Oryctolagus cuniculus: one gene and its partners. The protein of the gene in region 3 purifies or fractionates together with the protein of the main gene of each other region. This does not show direct contact. Links are inferred from orthologs where the notes say so. Each region holds a gene or a part of one and is shown on either strand. Other genes may lie near its edges.

Region 1 (4,055 bases), on a different chromosome or scaffold from region 3:
AGCACGTGCTCCACGTCGTGCAGCTTGCCAGGGACGTACATCTGCGAGGCAAGGGTTAAGGGGAACCAGCCCAGCATGAGCCCCGAGTCCCTGTGGGCCAGCTGCTTGGCCTCCTACGGCTTCTTTCTTTCTTTTTTAATTAATTTATTTGAAAGGCAGAGTTACAGAGAGAGATCTATTCACTCCTCAAGTGGCCGCAACTAGCCGGCTGGAGCTTCTTCTGGGTCTGCAGGGGCCCAAACACTTGGGCCATCTGCTGCTGCTTACCCAGGCGCATCAGCAGGGAGCTGGATCAGAAGTTGGCCAGGACTGGCGCTGTGGTGTAGTGGGGCTAAGCCTCCACCTGCAGAGCCAGCATCCATATGGGTGCTGGTTCAAGTCTCAGCTGCTCCTCTTCCAATCCAGCTCTCTACTGTGGTCTGGGAAAGCAGTAGAGGATGGCCCAAGTGCTTGGGCCCCTGTACCCACGTGGGAGACCTGGAAGAAGCTCCTGGCTTCAGGTTGGCGCTGCTCTGGCTGTTGCAGCCATTGTGGAGTGAACCAGTGGATGGAAGGGCTTTCCAGTCTCTGTCTCTCACTCCCTCTGTCTGTAACTCTGCCTCTCAAATAAATAAATGTCTTTTTTTTTTTTTTTCTAAAGAAGTGGAGCAGCCAGGACTTGAACCAACAAAGGCGGGTGCTGCAGGCCGTGGGTTAATTTGTTGCACCACAGTGCTGGCCCTGACCGTCTTTTTTTTAAAACAAACCACAAGGGGTAAGGACTGAGTAATCTGGAGGCCTTAGAAATATGCCTGAAAGCCAGTGCTACAGCCCACTAGGCTAATCCTCCGCCTGCAGCGCCGGCACCCCAGGTTCTAGTCCCGGTTGGGGCACTGGATTCTGTCCCGGTTGCTCCTCTTCCAGGCCAGCTCTCTGCTGTGGCCCGGGAAGGCAGTGGAGGATGGCCCAAGTGATTGGGCCCTGCACCCGCATGGGAGACCGGGAGGAAGTACCCAGCTCCTGGCTTCGGATCGGCGCAGTGTGCCGGCCATAGCGGCCATTTGGGGGATGACCCATCGGAAAAAGGAAGACCTTTGTCTCTCTAACTCTGTCAAAAAAAAAAAAAAAAAGAAAGAAAGAAAGAAAGAAAGAAAAGAAAGAAGAAAGAAAGAAAAAAGAAAAGAAAAGAAAAGAAAAGAAAAGAAAAGAAGAAAAGAAAAGAAGTATGCCTGAAGCCCCCAAAAGGCAGCCGCAAAGATGCTGGCTCCTTTTGGAGAAAGCTGGCTTGTGCTGGAACTCTAGCCCCGACTCCATCTCCCGCCCTCCAAGCGATTGTTGTAACTCCTCCCAAGGACTCCTCGGCAAAGACTGGATTTGGTGATGGTCTCCCCCTGCCTGGAGTGGACCCCGTGAAGAGCCAGCTTCATGTCCCCTCATCGTCCCCCATCACGAAGTGGCTCATGCCCATTCACTGCTACACCGCCGTTCCTGTGCCCTTTCCCAAACGCCAGCTACGCACCGCAGGTTCGCCACTGCCAGAACCTGCTCATTCCAGGTCAACCCCCAGCAGGTGAGCCTAACCCAGGCTCCTTCCAGCAGCTGAGGAATGGGCCACGGGGAAAGTGAAATTTAGGGTTAATGAACAGAGCCAACCTCCCTGTTTAATACTAGCAAAAGAAGATCAGCTTTTTCTTCATATTCATGGCCTCTAACAGCATGGGGGGGAGACCACAACTCTACATACCATATCCCTTGGCACTCAGAAGGCATGAGCTGGATGTCGACCTGAGGCTACGAAGTGTGTACAACAAGAGCCCTCTCAAAATCACTGGGGGGAGGGGGTAGCCAGTAAAGCCGCTGCCTGCAGTGCCGCTTCCCATGTGGGCGCAGGTTTGAGTCCCGGCTGCTCCACTTCCAATCCAGCTCTCTGCTGTGGCCTGGGAAAGCAGTGGAAGATGGCCAAAGTCCTTGGGCCCCTGCACCCGTGTGGGAGACCCGGAAGAAGCTCCTGGCTTCGGATCGGCACAGCACTGGCCATTGCGGCCAATTGGGCAATTAACCAACGGATGGAAGGCCACTCTCTCTCTGCCTCTCTCTAACTCTGCCTTTCAAATTAAAAAAAAAAATCAAGGGGGAGTTCTACGGTGTCCGCCCCGCCCCCGGGAGGCGGCGCGGTAGCAATCCCAGTGGAAAGGATACGGAACTTGTCAGTGGGACGAGCAGTTCTTTCCCTGTGAAAGCAATGAAGACAAACAGCGTGGGCAGGCTGGCAGCCGTAAAGGGAGTTCAGAGCCCGGCAGCATGCACAGGGCGCGTGCAGCGGCGCTCAGCGCGCAGCGCCCGGTCCTCTCGCCGCCGCGGTCCCCGCGTTGCCCGCTCCTACGCCGCATACCCTCGTTGCTCTTGTTCAGCACGTTCAGACAGTCCTTGGCTTCCACGTACTTGGTCTGTACCACCTTGAGCTGGGCGATGGACGTGGACAAGAACTCCACCTCCTACACGGGACGGGAAAGCGGGGCCGGCTGAGGACCCGGGGCCCGAGAGGGGCGGACCCTGGGAGCCGGGGAAGGGAAACGGCTCAAACTGGAAAGGAACGGGGTGGGGGGCGAGAGGCTGCGTGTGGCCGACGGGATGTGGAGCGCGCGAAAGGTGTTGCTCGGGCTCCATCCCCACCTGATCCAGCTGGTTCTTGAGCATTTCTAGCTGCGGCAGGTTCAGCTCCGTGATGTTGATCGACTGCGCCATGTTGGGACGGAGGAGTAGCCGAGAGGAAGCCGGCCGCGTGAGCGACGCTCTAGCCGTCTCCTGCGCGTCTCTATGGCCGTGCCCGGCGGCCTCGCTGCGCCGGACGTCTCTATGACCCGCAAGGGAGGGAGGCGCTGGAGCCGCTCAGGTGCACCTTGTGTTGAGAGTCACGGGATAGTCTAAGCCTAGTCCAATAAAGTTGTAGCAAGCCATGATGCCTGTCCTCCAGGAAGTTGAAAATCCTGAAGTGCTCAGGACACAGCCACAATCCTGTAAGGCAGCGTGTAAATCTAGTGACCGACAGCTGTGTGCGTGGTGGGGGGCAGCTGGTCGGGCCCCTTGTCCCTTGTCGCAGAGGAGCATCATGAAAATGCTGCTTGGAGCAGACGCAGGGGAGAGTCTGGAAGTGGAGAGGATTAAAAAGCCGCAGTCTGAACGTCACACAATAAATGTTTTGTGAACTGTGAAAAATTGAAAAAAAAAAAAAAAAAAGCCACAGTCAGCCAACAAGCATAGCACAAGGTGTCACTCCGTAGCATGTGTTACCTGCGCTAGCTAGACGGAGCCTGGAACGCCATCCTGGTCGGCCGCATTGGGTGCTGGGCCCAAGTACTTCAGTTATCATCTGCTGCCTTCAGGAAGCTGCATTGGAAATGTAGAGTAGCTGGGACTCAAACCAGGTGCTGTGCTATGAACACATCTTGTTTCCTTGGAGCCCAGAACCTACATGGGTTATTTCCTGGGGTTCTGGCTTACATGTGGGTGTGTGTTCTGGGAGGCCAAGGTCTATGTGTTGTTTCCTAGGATGCCCGGAATTCCTGATGGGAATTGAATCCAGGCACTCCAAGGTGGGATACACCCACCTGAGCTGCTAGGGCAAATGTGGCATAGCAGGTTAGGCAGCCGCCTACTATGACAGCATCCCAAATGGGTGCTAGTTTGAGTTCCGGCTGCTCCACTTCTGATCCAGCTCCCTGCTAATGTGCCTGGGAAAGCAGTGGGAGATGGGAAGATAGCCTGAGTCCTCGGGCCCCTGTGTGGGAGACCCAGATTAAGCTCCTAGTTTTGGCCTGGCCAGCCCTGGCCATTGTGGTCACTTGGGGAGCAAACCAGCAGATGAGATCTCTCGCTCTCCTCTTTCAAATAAATTAAAACTTTTTTTTTTTTTTAAAGACCTATTTGAGAGGTAGAGACACAGAGAAAGGTCTTCCATCTGGTTCACTCCCAAAATGGCTGCAACAGCTGGAGCTGTGTGGATCCAAAGCCAGGAGCTTCTTCCAGGTTTTCCAATGGGTGCAGGGGCCCAAGGACTTGGGCCATCTTCTGCTTTC
Region 2 (4,085 bases), on a different chromosome or scaffold from region 3:
GTTGCATATCTAGCAAAGTTTCAGAAGATTTACTTTGGGGAAGAAGAGATGTCTATATTTCCTATTAAATACCACTCAAAAAAATAGCTTATGAAGACATTAGGAAATAAAACTGATACACGGAGCCAATGCTAGGGCACTGAAGGTTGAGCCTGCAGCAATGCCATCGAATTCTGGCTGTTCCACTTCTGATCCAGCTTCCTGCTAGCTAGGGTGCCTGAGAAGGCAGTGGAGGATGGCTCAAGTCGTTGGGCCCCTGCACCAACATGGGAGACCAGGAAGAAACTCCTGGCTTTGGCCTGGCCCAGCTCCACCATTGCAGACATCTAGGGAATCAATCAATGGATTCTCTCTCTGCTTCTGCCTCTCCCTCCCTTTCAAATAAATAAATCTTTAAAAAAGAAAAAAAAAAAAAACTGATATACGTTTCCTTGTTAATTGGTTGTCAAAATTATTCAACTTGTCTATAATTTTTTTTTTTTTTTGACAGGCAGAGTTAGAAAGTGAGAGAGACAGAGAGAAAGGCCTTCCTTCCGTGGGTTCACCCCCCAAATGGCCGCTGTGGCCGGTGTGCTGTGCCGATCCAAAGCCAGGAACCAGGTGCTTCCTCCTGGTCTCCCATGCGGGTGCAGGGCCTAAGCACTAGGGCCATCCTCCACTGCACTCCCGGGCCACAGCAGAGAGCTGGCCTGGAAGAGGGGCAACCGGGACAGAATCCGGCACCCCAACCGGGACTAGAACCCGTGGTGCCAGCGCCGCAGGCAGAGGATTAGCCTAGTGAGCCATGGCGCCGGCCTATAATTTTTTTCTTAGTTTGTATTAATTGTTTACTTGTTTCTTATCAATAAATTCAAAGAGTACTGGGAAGCAAGCCCTTTCACAGTTAATACTTTTGATAGTTCTTCATCAAAATCTTGGTTTCTGCAGCACCGGTTCTAGTCCCAGCTGCTCCTCTTTCAATCCAACTCTCTGCTATGTCCTGGGAAAGCAGCAGAAGATGGCCCAAGTCCTTGGGCCCCTGTACCCACGCAGGAGACCTGGAATAAGCTCCTAGCTCCTGGCTCCTGGCTTTGGATGGGTTCAGTTGCGGCCACTTACGGAGTGAACCAGTGGATGGAAGGCCTCTCTCTATCACTCCCTCTCACCTTCTGTAATTCTTCCTCTCAAAAAAAATATTTTTTAAAAAATCTTGGTTTAAGGCCAGCGCAGCGGCTCACTAGGCTAATCCTCCGCCTAGCGGCGCTGGCACACAAGGTTCTAGTCCCAGTTGGGGCGCCGGATTCTGTCCCGGTTGCCCCTCTTCCAGGCCAGCTCTCTGCTGTGGCCAGGGAGTGCAGTGGAGGATGGCCCAGGTGCTTGGGCCCTGCACCCCATGGGAGACCAGGAAAAGCATCTGGCTCCTGGCTCCTGCCACCGGATCAGCGCGGTGCGCCGGCCGCAGCGGCCATTGGAGGGTGAACCAACGGCAAAGGAAGACCTTTCTCTCTGTCTCTCTCTCACTGTCCACTCTGCCTGTCAAAAATAAATAAATAAATAAATAAAACTTGGTTTAAGTTTACACTTTTAATGGAAAAAAGGGTAAATTTTTCAGAAAACACAATTTTATTCTGAAATGTAAAATTTCAGGTATTTTCTGACTGTTCTATACAGTTTATGGAGGAAGATATAGCCAAGATATTAGAGAACAGCATGTAAAAGCAACTTACAAGTTTCAAGACAAGAGCAGCAGAAGAAACGAGACGCAAACACCTTTAAAACAGTAACAGCTTCATTTAATAAGAGCTATTTCAGCTGCCCTATTTCTAATGCAAAGACTGTTCAGATGTTTTCCATGAAGAACTTAAACTACTGGTCAAAAAAACCTGTAAGAGAACATGGTATTCTAATTCCACTCTTTGAGACTTCTCTAGAGTTGTTTCCCTTTCTAGAAAAGTAGATTTAAATCCTATGCAGTCCAGGGTCCTTTCCAATCCGCCCTCGCCCCCCAAAGCACACGTTTTGAGTCGGCAGTGGAGTTAGAATCCTGACTGCTCTCCGGTACCAAACATTTATAAGCAATTGTTTGAACAGAAGAAACGCAATTCCTTCTCAAAATGCTTTTATTTGGCAAACTCTGCTGCTCCTTTTTTTAGACAAGCCCTTCGCAAAAGGAGGGGAGGAGGAGAGGGGACAATGCCTTCCTGCGGCTTTTCAAGGTACAGGATGGGAATAAATGGCTTTAAAACAGGTGTTGGGTTTTTTCTCCCGAATTAAATGAGGCAGAATTACACACGCCTCAGCCCCAGGCAACCGCACCAAAGAGGTTTTAAGACGTTGTCTTCTGTTCTTACCATGAAACTGAGCCCCTGAAGGCTCCAAACGCAACGAAATAGCTCTGGGGCTCAGAACAAACGGGTAAGCTCGCACTCGGACCCGGCCCGGCTCAACTAGCTCCCACCCAGCAAGAGCCGCTAGCTGCCCACTCGGCTCAAGGAGGCCCCGCGGCGCCTCAGGCCTCCGGGAAAACATTCCCCAGTCCTCCAGCGCCTCTTTGCTCCCGCAAACATTCAAGCCTCACTCGATATTCCTGTCCACAGTCCCTTCGGCCTCCAAAGAGAAGCCTCTGCCTGCTCAAGACCCTCTTTTACCTTCTTCAACTCCAGATCCACGGGGGCCGCCATCTTGATGCACCCCTCTGCGCCTGCGCATTGGAAGAAGGCCGGAAAGGGGTGGGGGAAGGGCTGCGTTTTGATGGGTCGCCCTCCTAATGCGCCTGCGCCTGCGTGCCGCTAATCGGGTTTGTTTCCCTGTTGCGGAGCGGGTTACTCTAAATATTCAAGATTCCGATTCAATTTGTCTTCCCTTGCTGACCTATCAGGTCTGGCTTGTTCCTCCACATCTTCCAGACACAGCCCAACGTGTAGATTTCGCTTGTGGCTTTGAACAGTTTGATAGTTTTTCTACTCAATTGAGAAGTGCGTGGATCAGGTCAAACCCTCATCAGTTATTCAGTCCTACAGCTCGTCCTGTGCTGTCAGAGATGAGTAAGAAGGGACCCCAGACCTCAGGCCTAACCATATGGAGAAGACTATTAGAAGGCTTGGGTTTTCCACCAAAGAACTCATTTCTACTGAATGCTCCCAAAGACTTTCTAGATTAGAGATTCTCGAGGGAGGTGATATGTTTGATTTTTGGAAAAATTTTTGGAAAAATGTTTAGTACAGTGGCTAAGACATCAGCATCTCATACTGGAGTGTATGGGTTTGAATCCTGATTAGGCTTCCAATTCTGGTTTCCTGCTAATGAACACCCTGAAAGGCCTTAGTAATGGATCGAGTAATAGGGTTCCTGCCACCCATATGGCAGACCTGAATTGGCCAGCTTTGTTCTGGCCAATCCTGGCACTTGAGGACTTTTGTAGAATGAATCAGTGGAAGGAATCAAGATTTCTCTCTCTCCCTCTCTCTCTCTCTCTCTCTCTCTCTCTCTTTCAAATAATAGTAATAAATGTTAAATAATATAGATTCTTAGGTCTCATTCCAAGCTTATTCAGAATCTTTGAGGGCTTAAAAATTTGCAATTATCCTAACTCCCCATGACCTGGTGGCGCAAAAGTTGTCTACAGAACACATTTGGAGAACCTCTGCTATAAAAGGACCTAGCATTTGAAACAGGCAATTGGGTTTGAGTCCCGGCTGCTCCACTTGTGATCCACCTTTCTGCTGTGGCCTGGGAAAGCAGTAGAAGATGGCTTAACTCCTTGGGCCCCTGCACCCGTGTGGAGACCCAGGGGAGGCTCCCGGCTCCTGGCTTCAGATTTGCTCAGCTCTGGCCGTTGCGGTCATTTCCGGAGTGAACCAGCACATGGAAGACCTCTCTGGCTCTACCTCTCTCTGTAACTCTGTCTTTCAAATTAAAAAATAATAATTCTTTAAAAAAAAAAAAAAGAAAGAAAGAAAGGGACCAGCGCCGCGGCTCACTAGGCTAATCCTCCGCCTAGTGGCGCCGGCACAATGGGTTCTAGTCCCGGTCGGGGCGCCGGATTCTGTCCCAGTTGCCTCTCTTCCAGGCCAGCTCTCTGCTGTGGCCAGGGAGTGCAGTGGAGG
Region 3 (4,291 bases):
CCGGCGCGGTCATCTGTGAGAAGCTGCACAGCCAGTTAGCAAGAGAGCCTCCCAGACCTAGCCCATCCCGCCACCACTCCCTGGTGCCAGGCTCTGGCCCCAGAGCCCAGCAGCCTGGTGGGATGGCAAAACAAAACCAAACAAAAAACGGCTAGGCCAGAGTTGCAAGGAGTCCTGCCTCACTGGGAGCCTGGGCACCTAGAGATCTCTGGATCGGAACCACACCTCACAGCCCGGCTGGCTAAGGCAGGGTTTCTCACTCCGAATCTGACAAGGACAGTGACCCAGGAGACGCACCGGTGAGGCGGCGGCGGGCGGATGACACCACCCCGTAGGCCCCGTTGCCGATCGTCTCGATGATCTCGTACTCGTCGCCCACGTCGAAGGTCACGTCGAAGGAACGGGCCTTGAGCAGGGCCAGGTTCTTGGCGGCGACCGAGGCGGCGGTGTGGACGGGTTCAGCCTTCACCGACCCGGGGGGCTCCCCAGAGCCATCCTCGCCATCTTCCTCTTTAAGGGGCTCGGCCATGGTCCTCTGTGTGGAGACGCCGGTGATGAAGAGGGCCCACCCCCAGCCCCCATCCCGGGGGTCTCAGTTTCCCCTTCTGTGGGTTGGGGAGGGGGCACCAGGGAAATTTCCAAGTTTCCAAAACCAGCCACTTGGCGAATGGGAGCGGCTGGCCCGCTGGAGACACCCGACGCTGGGAGCCGCCGCCCCGGGCCTGGGTCCGGGTGGGGGTCGGGGTCGCGGGTGGGGGAGGGAGCGGCGCGGCGCAGTCCAGGAAGAAAGGGCGGGCGGGGCCCTCGGGTTCCTCGGGGCCACACTCACTGACCGGCGCCTCCTCAGGGATCCTGGAAGTCCCAGCGCTCGCCGGCGTCCTCGGCCCCGGCTAGAGGAGGGGGCTCCGGGAACCGCACTCCCGCCCGTCCGAGGCCCGCGGCCACCTCCTCAGCGCCGCGCGCTGCCCAGCCCGGACCCCACCGCCCCGCCTCCCGAGACCACGCTCCCTCCCGCCGCCGGCCAATCGGCGAGCGGCCCCTGCGGAGGTTCCCACCCCTTTTACCTGCTGAGCCCAATCAGGGCGCATCGGCCTAGGAAACCGTACCTCCGCCCGCCGGGGTCCGGCTCGCCGGCGGGAGCCGCCGCCCTGAGGGCGCTCGGCGCTCCGGAGGGGTGCGCCGGCCGCCGGGCGCAGTCCCCTGCACGCATGCGCACCGGCAGCCCCGGGCGCCGCGAGAATAGGAGGCAACGCCCCTGCACGTCGGCCCGCGCGCGTCCCCATCCATCGGCTCCTGCGGTCAATCACGGCTCGTCCCGCGATTGTGGGGAACAGCCGGGCACTCGGGGCGAGCTGAGAGGCCTGGGGTTGTTACCTTGGAGACTGGCTCCCGCAATACCCCTCCTTGGGCCCCTCTTCCTTAACGGGTCCCCATTTTCTCGGTTCTGGGAGCTCTGGGAAAGCATCGTTCGCGGGAAAGGGCGAGCAGGCACGTCCAACCATAGAGACCTGGGTCCTCCGGGATTCTAGAGCGTCCGGCCTCGGAGCTGCCGCTGACTTCCGGCGGCCGGTCTTCTCGCACACTTCCGGCGCTCGCTGGTAGTTTGCTGGTCCGGCGTCTGCCCTCCGCAGTGGCTCTGTCCCGCGGCTCCGGCGTTTCGGGCTGCGACAGAGTGGAAGGAGGCAGCGGGCCCTTCTGTGGAGTCCGCGAGTCGGCAGCACTCTGACTGGAACGCCATTCCTCGCGTAGTCGAGTGTCGAGCCCCGCCCTGCGACGCCAGGGCGGCGAGGGCTGGAGGTAAGAGCGGCGAGGAAGAAGCGGCTTTGTGGTGGAGACTCCGGCGGTGACTGTTTCCGTGGAGGAATGAAGGCCCTGCAGGCGGAGCCACGGTGTGGAGCTGGGACATTCGGGCGAGTTTGCCCTGCACCAGGCCCGGCGGATGGGAAGACGGGGAGAGCGGGAGGGAACCCGGTCGTCAGGAGTCCCGGAGTGCCAGGTTGACCGTTTCGGCAGAGTTCAAAGGTCGTTTATTTTGCATGGATTTCACACTTTTTTGAGGGGGGAGGGCCAGCGTTGTGGCTTAACGAATGCAGCCTCGGCCGGCAGCCCGCGCTGGGGCGCCTGCTCGAGCCGCCCCACTTCCGATCCGGCTTCCTGCCCCCGTGCTGCGTGGTCCCTGGGAGGTGGCCCCTGCCCTCCGCGGCGGACACGGGGGTGGAGTTGCCGGTTCCCGGCTCGGCCTGGCACAGCCCTGGCTGTGGCCACCATTGGGAAGGGAGCCGTTACGTGTGAGATCTCTCTCCGGTTCGCCGCTCTCTAGTTACGCCTTTCAGGCACCTAAGTAAATCTCTTTTTAAAAAAAGTTTTTGATTCTGCTTTCCACAGTGCGTGCGGTACCTTTATATGTATATCTAGTAGTTAGATAGGTAGCGATCGTATGAACCAACTGAGTTGGGGTTGAAGTCTAAATTTGTTTGGTTTCCCTGGCAGCATAACAAAGCCAAATTATCTCACGTGATTTGCACTGAGCATTAATAAGGCAACCAACCGTACTCTTGAGAAACGGGGTTTCCTGTTACTGAGATATGGAAGTGTTTGAGGGGAATTTTTTTTTTTTTACACAGATTTATTTGTTTTATTCGAAAGGCAGAACCAGAGAAAGAGGGAGAGACAGATCTGTCTGCTGGCTCACTCCCCCTGTGGCCGCAATGGCCGGAGCTGGACCAGGCCGAGCCAGGAGCTTCTTCCAGGTCTCGCACGCAGGTGCAGGGGCTCAAGCACTTGTGCCATCTTCTGCTTTCCAGACGCTTCAGCAGGGAGCTGGATCGGAAGTGGAGCAGCTGGGACTTGAACCAGTGTCCATACGGGATGCCAGCACTGCAGGCCACGGCTTAACCACAGCGCCGGCCCCAGGGGCCTTTCTAGAGATGAAATCCATGCAGCGTGAGGCCCTGTGTCAGCTCTCAGTGTAAGCAGAGGTCACACAGAGGCCGGAACATGAAACACATGATTTTCTAGGGACCCACTGTACTCTGTCTGGTGGTCCTATTTGAATCAGGAATAAAATATCAGAAGAGACTAATGCACTGTGTATCCTTTAAATACTTCAAAAATATTCCATCCAGTCAGGTTATTCGCTGCAGACAATTCACTATCCCCTGGTTAAAAAGACTGATTCTCTTACTTTTTGTCTGAATTACTGTGCTGCTGCTCCCACAGCAGCGGCTCTGTCTTGGAGAAGTCATCAGTTATCCCTTTCTGGTCAAATCCAGCCTTTTGACCCTTGCCCTCTCGAACTCTCTGTTGCATCTGACACAACTGACCACTTGTTTAAAAACGGAAAGGGTGGAATCACATTTTCTTGTGGTTCGAGACTTTGGTAAAGAAACGTTTAAGTGAAAAATCTTGGTCCCGCCTCCTGGTGGCCACTAGAGGAAAGTGACTCAGACAGTCCCAGGTCCCATCAGGACAGGGCTGCGTTCTGCGAATCACACTGGGAGGCGGTGTTGGCATTGTGAGAACTTACCTGCTGCGCCCTGCACACACCTGTGGGCATTTGTAACGGTGGTGTTTGCGTAGCACAACCTATCTAAGCGTGGGGAAGCACCGTGAAATATAGACGAGAATAAATAGTGCTTCTGTGGAGGGCACTCACCACGAATGGGGCTTGCGGGACCGGAAGTTGTTCTGGGTGAGTCGGGGTCAGTGCAGGGTGACTGCAGGCCCAAGACATGACTGCACCCCAGGTAGGTTTCATCTATACCAAGGCCACATGGGATTTATTTTTAAAAAGTTTTTCCCTTTTTAATTTTTTAAGGATCTGAGAGGTAGAGTTACAGAGAGATGGAGAGAAAGGTCTTCCATCCACTGGTTGGTTCCTACTTTACCCACTGTGCCCCAGTGTCAGCCTAAAGAGAGGACATTTTATTTTTTAAAGATGTTATTTATTTATTTGAGAGGTAGAGTTACAGGCAGGGAGGGAGGGAGAAAGAGAGAGAGAGCTCTTCCATCTGCTGGCTCATCCCCAAATGGCCACAACAGCCAGGGCTGGGCCAGGCTGAAGCCAGGAGCCAGGTACTCCATCCAGGTCTCAACGCGGATGGCAGGGGCCCAGGTATCTGGGCCATCTGCTGCCTCCCGGTGTGTTAGCCAGGAGCTGCATCAGAACTGGAGCAGCCGGGGCTCTAGCCAGTGCTCCAGTCTCCAATATGGGGTGTTGGTGTCGCAGAACTCCATGCCGGCCCGTGGGGCATCTAGCCTCGTTTCCAGGTCATGTCCCATTGGACAGGCC
Region 4 (3,512 bases), on a different chromosome or scaffold from region 3:
ACTCTTTTAGATGACATTTCACAGCAAGCACTTAGGAGGCTGCACACTGTCCTCTTATTCCTGACTGTTGCTTGCATCCTGGAGTGGCAGCAGGTGCCCACGGTCACTGAAACGTCTCCTACTGTAGGAATCTCCTTCCTGGGGAACTCTGCCTTCCTATGAAATAAAACCATAGAAAGCAAAAACCTTCCCCAGCCTTCCTAGTCAACAGAGTGTAAACAAGTAATAACTTAAATTCCACTAATCAAAACTGCATGGATTGGGGCTGGCGCTGTGGCATAATGGGTAAAGCTGCTGCCTCCAGTGCCGGCATCCCATATGGGCGTCGGTTCAAGTCCTGGCTGCTCCACTTCCAATCCAGCTCTGCTATGGCCTGGGAAAGCAGTGAAGATGGCCCAAGTCCTTGGGCCCCTACACCCACGTGGGAGACACAGAAGAGGCTCCTGGCTCCCGGCTTCAGATCGGCCCAGCTCTGGCCATTGTGGCCATTTGGGGAGTGAACCAGTGGATGGAAGACTTATCTCTATCTCTGCCTCTGCCTCTCTGTAACTCTACCTTTTAAAGAAATAAATAAATCCTAAAAAAAAAAAAAAAAGTGCATGGACTGAGGGCAGAGTAAGAGAGGGACAGCTTCGTCACTAAGGAGGCTCTGAGGTCAGTGGAGCCAGCATCAAGGCTGATCCTCCTCCGAGACAGTTTCAGGACTTGCTCTTGGAAGCTCAGCCTAGAGTCAAACCCCTCAAAACTCTAAAATTATTTCACATCCCTTCAAAAACGTCTTTCTACTGAAACTTACTTGCTATGTCATATGCAAACTTTTGACAGGAAGTGGGTAGTAGATAATTTGCTCTGTAAGGAGTCTCACTAGCTGCTATGCTACTGCCTAATTTTCAAATACTTCTCAAGTCTGCCCGTTTCCTTCCACCTCCACCAACACCCTCCTGTCCAAGCCCTGGGAGCCCAGGTCAAAAGCACGGCTAGTTAAGGGAGGAAGGAGGAAACACCACTTGAGGCAGTAGGGCTTTGATGGCTGGAGTCCAGGGGGAGGCTTGGGGTTTTGAATGCCAAGGCGTATGCATGACTGAGCAACACTCTACAGTAATCTGACAGTTGTTAGGTGCATTTTGCCACAAAGAGATGGAGGCAGGACACAGGTGTATGGTGCACGGAGTCAGCTGTCAGAAGAAGAAAGGAAGGCGGGGGCTTAAAAGAGGTGGTGGAATGTAGAGGTCTTGGCAGTGATTAGCGAGGGAAGAGTAAAGAGAGGAGAAGCAGAGATAAACATTTTTAATACCTTTTTTACTTCTATTTCTTCCTTTAGCTCTGTGATTCTACTCGTATTCCTTGCGAATTTGTTTATCTTTTGTTGATCTTCAAAAGTAACATTGACATCTTCTGCAGCCTGAAAAACATTTTAATTTTTTGTAACATTTTAATAGAGAAGTTAGAGGTTTTTATCTGGCGCTCAATAATTCAATAAACTATTGCTCTCATACAGTGAAGAGTCACATCATATAGAAATGCCTTATTTGATTTTTTCAATGACCTTAAGATCTGTTCATCAATCTGTAATCTTTCCCAATATTCTATCACACGTGCCTATGCTACAGAAACATTTTACTAACCCTCCTACGCAAAGAAAAGCCAACCTTTAGCCAAGAGTGTGCCTCAAGCTGAAACATTTTTTCGGCAAATAAAAAAGTTACAGGATCAAATAATGTTGGGAAATGCCTCATAGCTTTTGTTTTTTCTTAGTCAGGACTTCCGTGAACTTACTGTGGTGATCAGAAATCTGAGTCTTTAATCCAACTGCTATATTGGCCAAAGAACTGCATTTCAGTGGTTATACTCCACATGCAGCAAAAATACATTCATTTTAATGTAGCATCTGCTTACATGTGTTCATTAATGTGGTAAAATTCACTATAAATGTGAAAACTGAATGCTTAATACTAAAAATTTAATATATACAATAATCATTGAATAAGACTATGTTTGAGTATTTATAATACTTAGGGGGCTGGCGCTGTGGTGCAGCAGGTAAAGCCGCGGCCTGCAGTGCTGGCATCCCATATGGGCGCCGGTTTGAAACCAGGCTGCGCGTTCTCTCTCTCTCTCTCTCTCTCTCTCAGGCTGCACGCGCTCTCTCTCTCTCCACCTCTCCTCTCTCTGGGTAACTCTGACTTTCAAATAAATTAATAAATCTTTAAAAAAAAATTTTAAAAATGAAGTCATAGGCTGGCACCGTGGCTCACTAGGTGCCGGTTCTGTCCTGGTTGCCCCTCTTCCAGGCCAGCTCTCTGCTGTGGCCCGGGAAGGCAGTGGAGGATGGCCCAAGTGCTTGGGCCCTGCACCTGCATGGGAGACTGGGAAGAAGCACCTTGCTCCTGGCTTCAGATCGGCGCAGTGCGCCAGCCGTGGCAACCATCTGGGGGGTGAACCTACGGAAGGAAGACCTTTCTCTCACTGTCTAACTCTGCCTGTTAAAAAAAAAGTCATACTGGCAAAAGATGAAAATAAGTTTAAAAGTTAGATGATATGTCAATTGGAGCAGCGGATTATTTAGCAACATTAATGTCACAATCACATTAAAAAATACTTGGGTGACATAATTAACTATGAAAAAATAAAAATAATAGCTAACATTGACTGAACGCTCCCTGTGGATCCAGACCTTTCTATGTGCATCACCTACTCTGCTAACCCTCCAGTCTCAGCAGGAGGGATTCTCACTCAGCACTACTGCTTTACAGCTGGAGAAGCTGGGGCACAGCCCACGGAAAGCCACACAGTCAGCAAGTGGGAGCGCCTGACTTCAACCCAGGCAGCCTGGCTTAGAGGCCGCAGACAGGCCCAAAGGGCTCTTGGAAACAGAACGTGGGAGCATGCACATGTGTGTGTGCACGCGCAGGGACTTACACGTACTTAGGAGGGGCAGTGGAAGTCCTCTGCTTTCATCAGATTCTCAGAGGGGATCTACGTATTAAATAAACAAGTAAGCAGAGTCTCCCTAGGGTTCCCATCATTTATAAAATAGAAGCAAGAGAACCTGATTGTAGTATAAAGAAAACTGTGTATATAAAAATAATCCTGAGTTAATTTATTGTATATATCAATATGACAGGTTATATGCATTAATTACATACAAATGTTTATGTGTGTAACATAAAAGTAGCCTCAATAAAGACTGCTGGCTCTTTTGCCAGTAACAGTAAAGGGTTCAAAATATCCTGTCCTGACCTTCATCTGGTCTCTCTCGACCAGTGACACAAGATACACGCCTTTATTTCTCCAGAGGTTGAAAGGCAACCTGCAGTCTCAAGCAACAGAGCTCAGAGGTCAGAATTTCAAGGCAGACACCTAGAACCTGGCCCTGCCCCTCATCAGGCCTCCCTTTCCACCACACAACTGCACGTGGTCAGGATCTGCCTGACCTGATCTCCTTCTGAATCTAAATCCTGCTTGATCAGATTCAAGTCTGCAGCTTCTGAAAAGCAGTAGAGAATCCAGCT
Region 5 (3,512 bases), on a different chromosome or scaffold from region 3:
ACAGTGGCTTAGAAACTTTAATGTATAGACGACTCACCTGAGGGCATTCCCAAAGTTCTGATTCAGAGGGTCCAGGACAAGATCCAAGAAACTATTTTAAACTAATCCTTCAGGGGAGCTGGCATCCGGCCCAGTGTCTGACACTGGCGCACCTAGGGTCGATTCAGCTCCTGACCCCACCTTCCTATGAATGCAGACCTGGGAGGCAGCAGTGATGGTTTAAGCAGCTGGGTTCCTGCCACCCAAGTGGGAAACCTGGATTGAATTCCTGGCCCTTGGCTTCAGTTCAACACCTCAGCTGTTGTGGGCATTTGGGGAATGGACCAGTGGAAGGGAGTTCTGTCTCATGAACAAATACTAACTGATGAATAAATTAGTCCTTTACGTGATTTTGATTCAGGTATCCAGGGACTACGTGAGAACTGCTCTAACCTCTTTCACCCAACTCAGCCAAGTAATAAACAGCCCATGAAAGGGACACAAAGCCAGCAACTCCTCTAAGAGTTTACCTAGCATAGCATAAAGAACATAGGCTTAAAAGCTATTTATGCTGTATTTTTTTAAAGATTTATTTATTTATTTGAAAGGCAGAGTGACAGGGAGTGAGCAAGCCAGAGGGAAAGAGATTGAGATTTTCCAGACATTGGTTCACTCCCCAAATGGCCACAATGATCGGGGCTAATCCGGGCCAAAGCCAGGAGCCTAGAACTTTACTCAGGTCTCCCACATGGGTAGCAGGAGTCCAAGTACCTGGGCCACCTTGTGCTGCTTTCCCAGGTGCATTAGCAGAGAGCTGGATGGGAAACAGCTTCAGGGACTCAAACCAGTGCTCTAGTAGGGGATGCCAGCATTACAGGTAGCAGTTTAGCTCACTGCGCCAAAGCTCTGGCCTAAATTTATGCTGTTTTCAACAGAAATTTTATACAGTCTTTCCTCTACTATATTTCCTAACTCCCTGGCCTTCCCATCTTCCTTACCCCTTTACTGCCCAAACCTTCTCCTCCCAGATTCTTGTTTACCTGCTCCTTATTGTTTTCCAAGGCAGGCAGCACCTCTTTGACAGTCCGCTCCACCAGCACTCCTCCAACCATGCGGTAGCACTTGCGAGTTTCATCTACTTCCTTCAGTGTATCGATCACTAGGCTGGGGTAGGAGGACAAGAGGAGACCAAAACTCTCAGTCCCACCCTACTGCAGCCCTCCCTTCACAAAAGGGCCCAACCAACCGCTTCTCCCTGCCTTTCTCACCTGTGCTCATTCAACTCCATCTCCAGCTCAGCTGCTTTGGATGCCAGGCCCCTCTGTTCCTGCCGAAGGCGGTTAAAGCCGGCAATTACCTAAGGTGAGAGAGAGAGAGAGGAGATAGAAGAGAGTATAGTGGAAATGCTGGAGGATCAGGACAGGACATAGGATGGCAAATTTTACAATGGTGGTAGTGGACACATACTTTGGATAAAGAGTAGAACTCAAGCTTGCGGGCCCGGCGCTGTGGTGCAGCGGGTTAACGCCCTTGCCTGAAGCGCTAGCATCCTATATGGGCGCCGGTTCTAGTCCCGGCTGCTCCACTTCCAATCCAGCTCTCTGCTATGGCCTGGGAAAGCAGTAGAAGATTGCCCAAGTCCTTGGGCCCCTGCACCCGCGTGGGAGACCTGGAAGAAGCTCCTGGCTCCTGGCTTTGGATCGGTGCAGCTCTGTCTCTACCTCTCTCTGTAACTCTTTCAAATAAATAAATAAATAGAACTCAAGCTTGCAATTTCTAACTTAAGTCCATCTGGAATTCCATTCACCAAACACTGATTGAGTGCCTACTGTGGAGATATTTGCTAGGCACTGGGGCATTTAACAGAGTAGATTTGGCCTCTGACTTCTTGTGGCTTATAGTTTTAAAGGAGTAGCATAGGGACAGGAGCAGCGAACTACTGGAGTACCTCCAGGGGAGCCTAGACTTGCACAGGTAACAGGACTCGCAGGCAGGGCACTGCAGTTAGTAACTACTGTTTGAGCCTGCCTAGTGTCCTTACCCCATTCATTGGGGAACTGCCCCTTATTAACTCCATGGGGCAACTAATCACAGGACCCTTGTTCTTAGGGCATGACTTATTTTATGCTAGATCTCTACAAGAATTCAAATGTTGGGTAAGGACAAATAGGTACAGAAGGCAGTTGGAGCTAAGATATGTGTTGGTTCTTTTCTTTTTTTAAAGATTTATTTATTTATTTGAAAGTCAGAGTTACACAGAGAGAGGAGGAGAGGCAGAGAGAGAGAGAGAAATCTTCCATTTGCTGGTTCACTCAACAAATGGCCGCAAAGGCTGGAGCTGGGCCGATCCAAAGCCAAGAGCTAGGAGCTTCCTCTGGGTCTCCCAAGCGGGTGCAGGGACCCAAGGAGTTGGGCCATCTTCTTCTGCTTTCCCAGGCCACAGCAGAGGGCTGGATTGGAAGTGGAGCAGCTGGGACTCAAACCAGTGCCCATGTGGGATGCCAGCACTGCAGGCAGCAGCTTTACCCACTACACCACAGTGTCAGCTCCAGTACTGGTTCTTTACAGATGTCTTTCCATTCCTATTCCTAGGCTCCTAAAGCTACCCCAGTTCTTGAACTTCATTCAATCTAGTTATTTAGTCTTTGTTTTCATTATGTCCAATTCTGTGAACTACCTGCTTCAAAACAAATTGTATTACAAGTCTGTTTCTGAAGCCTATACCACTAACACATGTCTTCACTTATGCCTGAAGGACAAAGAACTGGTGGCAGGGACTGGTGCTGTGGTGCAGCAGGTTCAAGACCTGGCTGCTCCACTCTGATCCAGCTCCCTACTAAGGTGCCTCAGAAAGCAGTGGAAGATGGCCCAAGTACATGGGTCTCTGCACCCACGTGGAGACCTGGAAAAAGCTCCTGGCTGCTGGCTTTGGACTGGCCCAGCCCTGGCCATTGTAGCTGTTTGGGGGGTGAACCAGCTGATGGAAGATCTCTCTCTCTCCCTGTCTCTGTAACTCTGCCTTTCAAATAAATAAGTTTTTTTAAAGTTTTATTTATTTATTTATTTATTTATTTATTTTGACAGGCAGAGTGGACAGTGAGAGAGAGAGACAGAGAGAAAGGTCTTCCTTTTTGCCGTTGGTTCACCCTCCAATGGCCACCACGGCCGGCGCGCTGCGGCCAGCGTACCACGCTGATCCGATAGCAGGAGCCAGGTGCTTATCCTGGTCTCCCATGGGGTGCAGGGCCCAAGCACTTGGGCCATCCTCCACTGCCTTCCCGGGCCACAGCAGAGAGCTGGCCTGGAAGAGGGGCAACTGGGAAAGAATCTGGCGCCCCGACCGGGACTAGAACCTGGTGTGCCGGCGCCGCAAGGCAGAGGATTAGCCTATTGAGCCACGGCGCCAGCCTCAAATAAATAAATCTTAAAACAAACTGGTGGCAGAAGGAAGAGAGAAGGGCTAAACAGGCACAAGAAATAACATGTAAAGTCCCGGAGAAGTCATTACTACCTGTACATGCTCCTACTTCCCC

Evidence for each region.
Region 1: the proteins of MAPK7 (region 3) and PFDN5 purify together in Homo sapiens (affinity purification with mass spectrometry; 3 studies listed by BioGRID and IntAct, with this or other methods). This does not show direct contact. The link is inferred for Oryctolagus cuniculus from reciprocal best matches to the Homo sapiens genes MAPK7 and PFDN5.
Region 2: the proteins of MAPK7 (region 3) and PFDN1 purify together in Homo sapiens (affinity purification with mass spectrometry; 3 studies listed by BioGRID and IntAct, with this or other methods). This does not show direct contact. The link is inferred for Oryctolagus cuniculus from reciprocal best matches to the Homo sapiens genes MAPK7 and PFDN1.
Region 4: the proteins of MAPK7 (region 3) and PFDN4 purify together in Homo sapiens (affinity purification with mass spectrometry; 3 studies listed by BioGRID and IntAct, with this or other methods). This does not show direct contact. The link is inferred for Oryctolagus cuniculus from reciprocal best matches to the Homo sapiens genes MAPK7 and PFDN4.
Region 5: the proteins of MAPK7 (region 3) and PFDN2 purify together in Homo sapiens (affinity purification with mass spectrometry; 3 studies listed by BioGRID and IntAct, with this or other methods). This does not show direct contact. The link is inferred for Oryctolagus cuniculus from reciprocal best matches to the Homo sapiens genes MAPK7 and PFDN2.

Annotation. Positions count from the first base shown.
Region 1 is NC_091442.1:56,307,268-56,311,322, reverse strand, and holds the start of PFDN5 (prefoldin subunit 5), read right to left. Parts: upstream 2,811-4,055; 5' UTR 2,725-2,810; coding exon 2,653-2,724; intron 2,475-2,652; coding exon 2,372-2,474; intron 2,211-2,371; coding exon 2,179-2,210; intron 42-2,178; coding exon 1-41. UniProt on the Homo sapiens protein: Binds specifically to cytosolic chaperonin (c-CPN) and transfers target proteins to it. Binds to nascent polypeptide chain and promotes folding in an environment in which there are many competing pathways for nonnative proteins.
Region 2 is NC_091437.1:27,961,780-27,965,864, forward strand, and holds the start of PFDN1 (prefoldin subunit 1), read right to left. Parts: upstream 2,809-4,085; 5' UTR 2,661-2,808; coding exon 2,628-2,660; intron 1-2,627. UniProt on the Homo sapiens protein: Binds specifically to cytosolic chaperonin (c-CPN) and transfers target proteins to it. Binds to nascent polypeptide chain and promotes folding in an environment in which there are many competing pathways for nonnative proteins.
Region 3 is NC_091448.1:61,506,683-61,510,973, reverse strand, and holds the start of MAPK7 (mitogen-activated protein kinase 7), read right to left. Parts: upstream 2,810-4,291; 5' UTR 1,284-2,809; coding exon 1,065-1,283; intron 996-1,064; exon of another isoform or gene 834-995; intron 536-833; coding exon 298-535; intron 1-297. UniProt on the Homo sapiens protein: Plays a role in various cellular processes such as proliferation, differentiation and cell survival. The upstream activator of MAPK7 is the MAPK kinase MAP2K5.
Region 4 is NC_091442.1:7,285,173-7,288,684, forward strand, and holds part of PFDN4 (prefoldin subunit 4), read right to left. Parts: intron 1,403-3,512; coding exon 1,295-1,402; intron 1-1,294. UniProt on the Homo sapiens protein: Binds specifically to cytosolic chaperonin (c-CPN) and transfers target proteins to it. Binds to nascent polypeptide chain and promotes folding in an environment in which there are many competing pathways for nonnative proteins.
Region 5 is NC_091438.1:37,700,862-37,704,373, reverse strand, and holds part of PFDN2 (prefoldin subunit 2), read right to left. Parts: intron 1,337-3,512; coding exon 1,248-1,336; intron 1,144-1,247; coding exon 1,020-1,143; intron 1-1,019. UniProt on the Homo sapiens protein: Binds specifically to cytosolic chaperonin (c-CPN) and transfers target proteins to it. Binds to nascent polypeptide chain and promotes folding in an environment in which there are many competing pathways for nonnative proteins.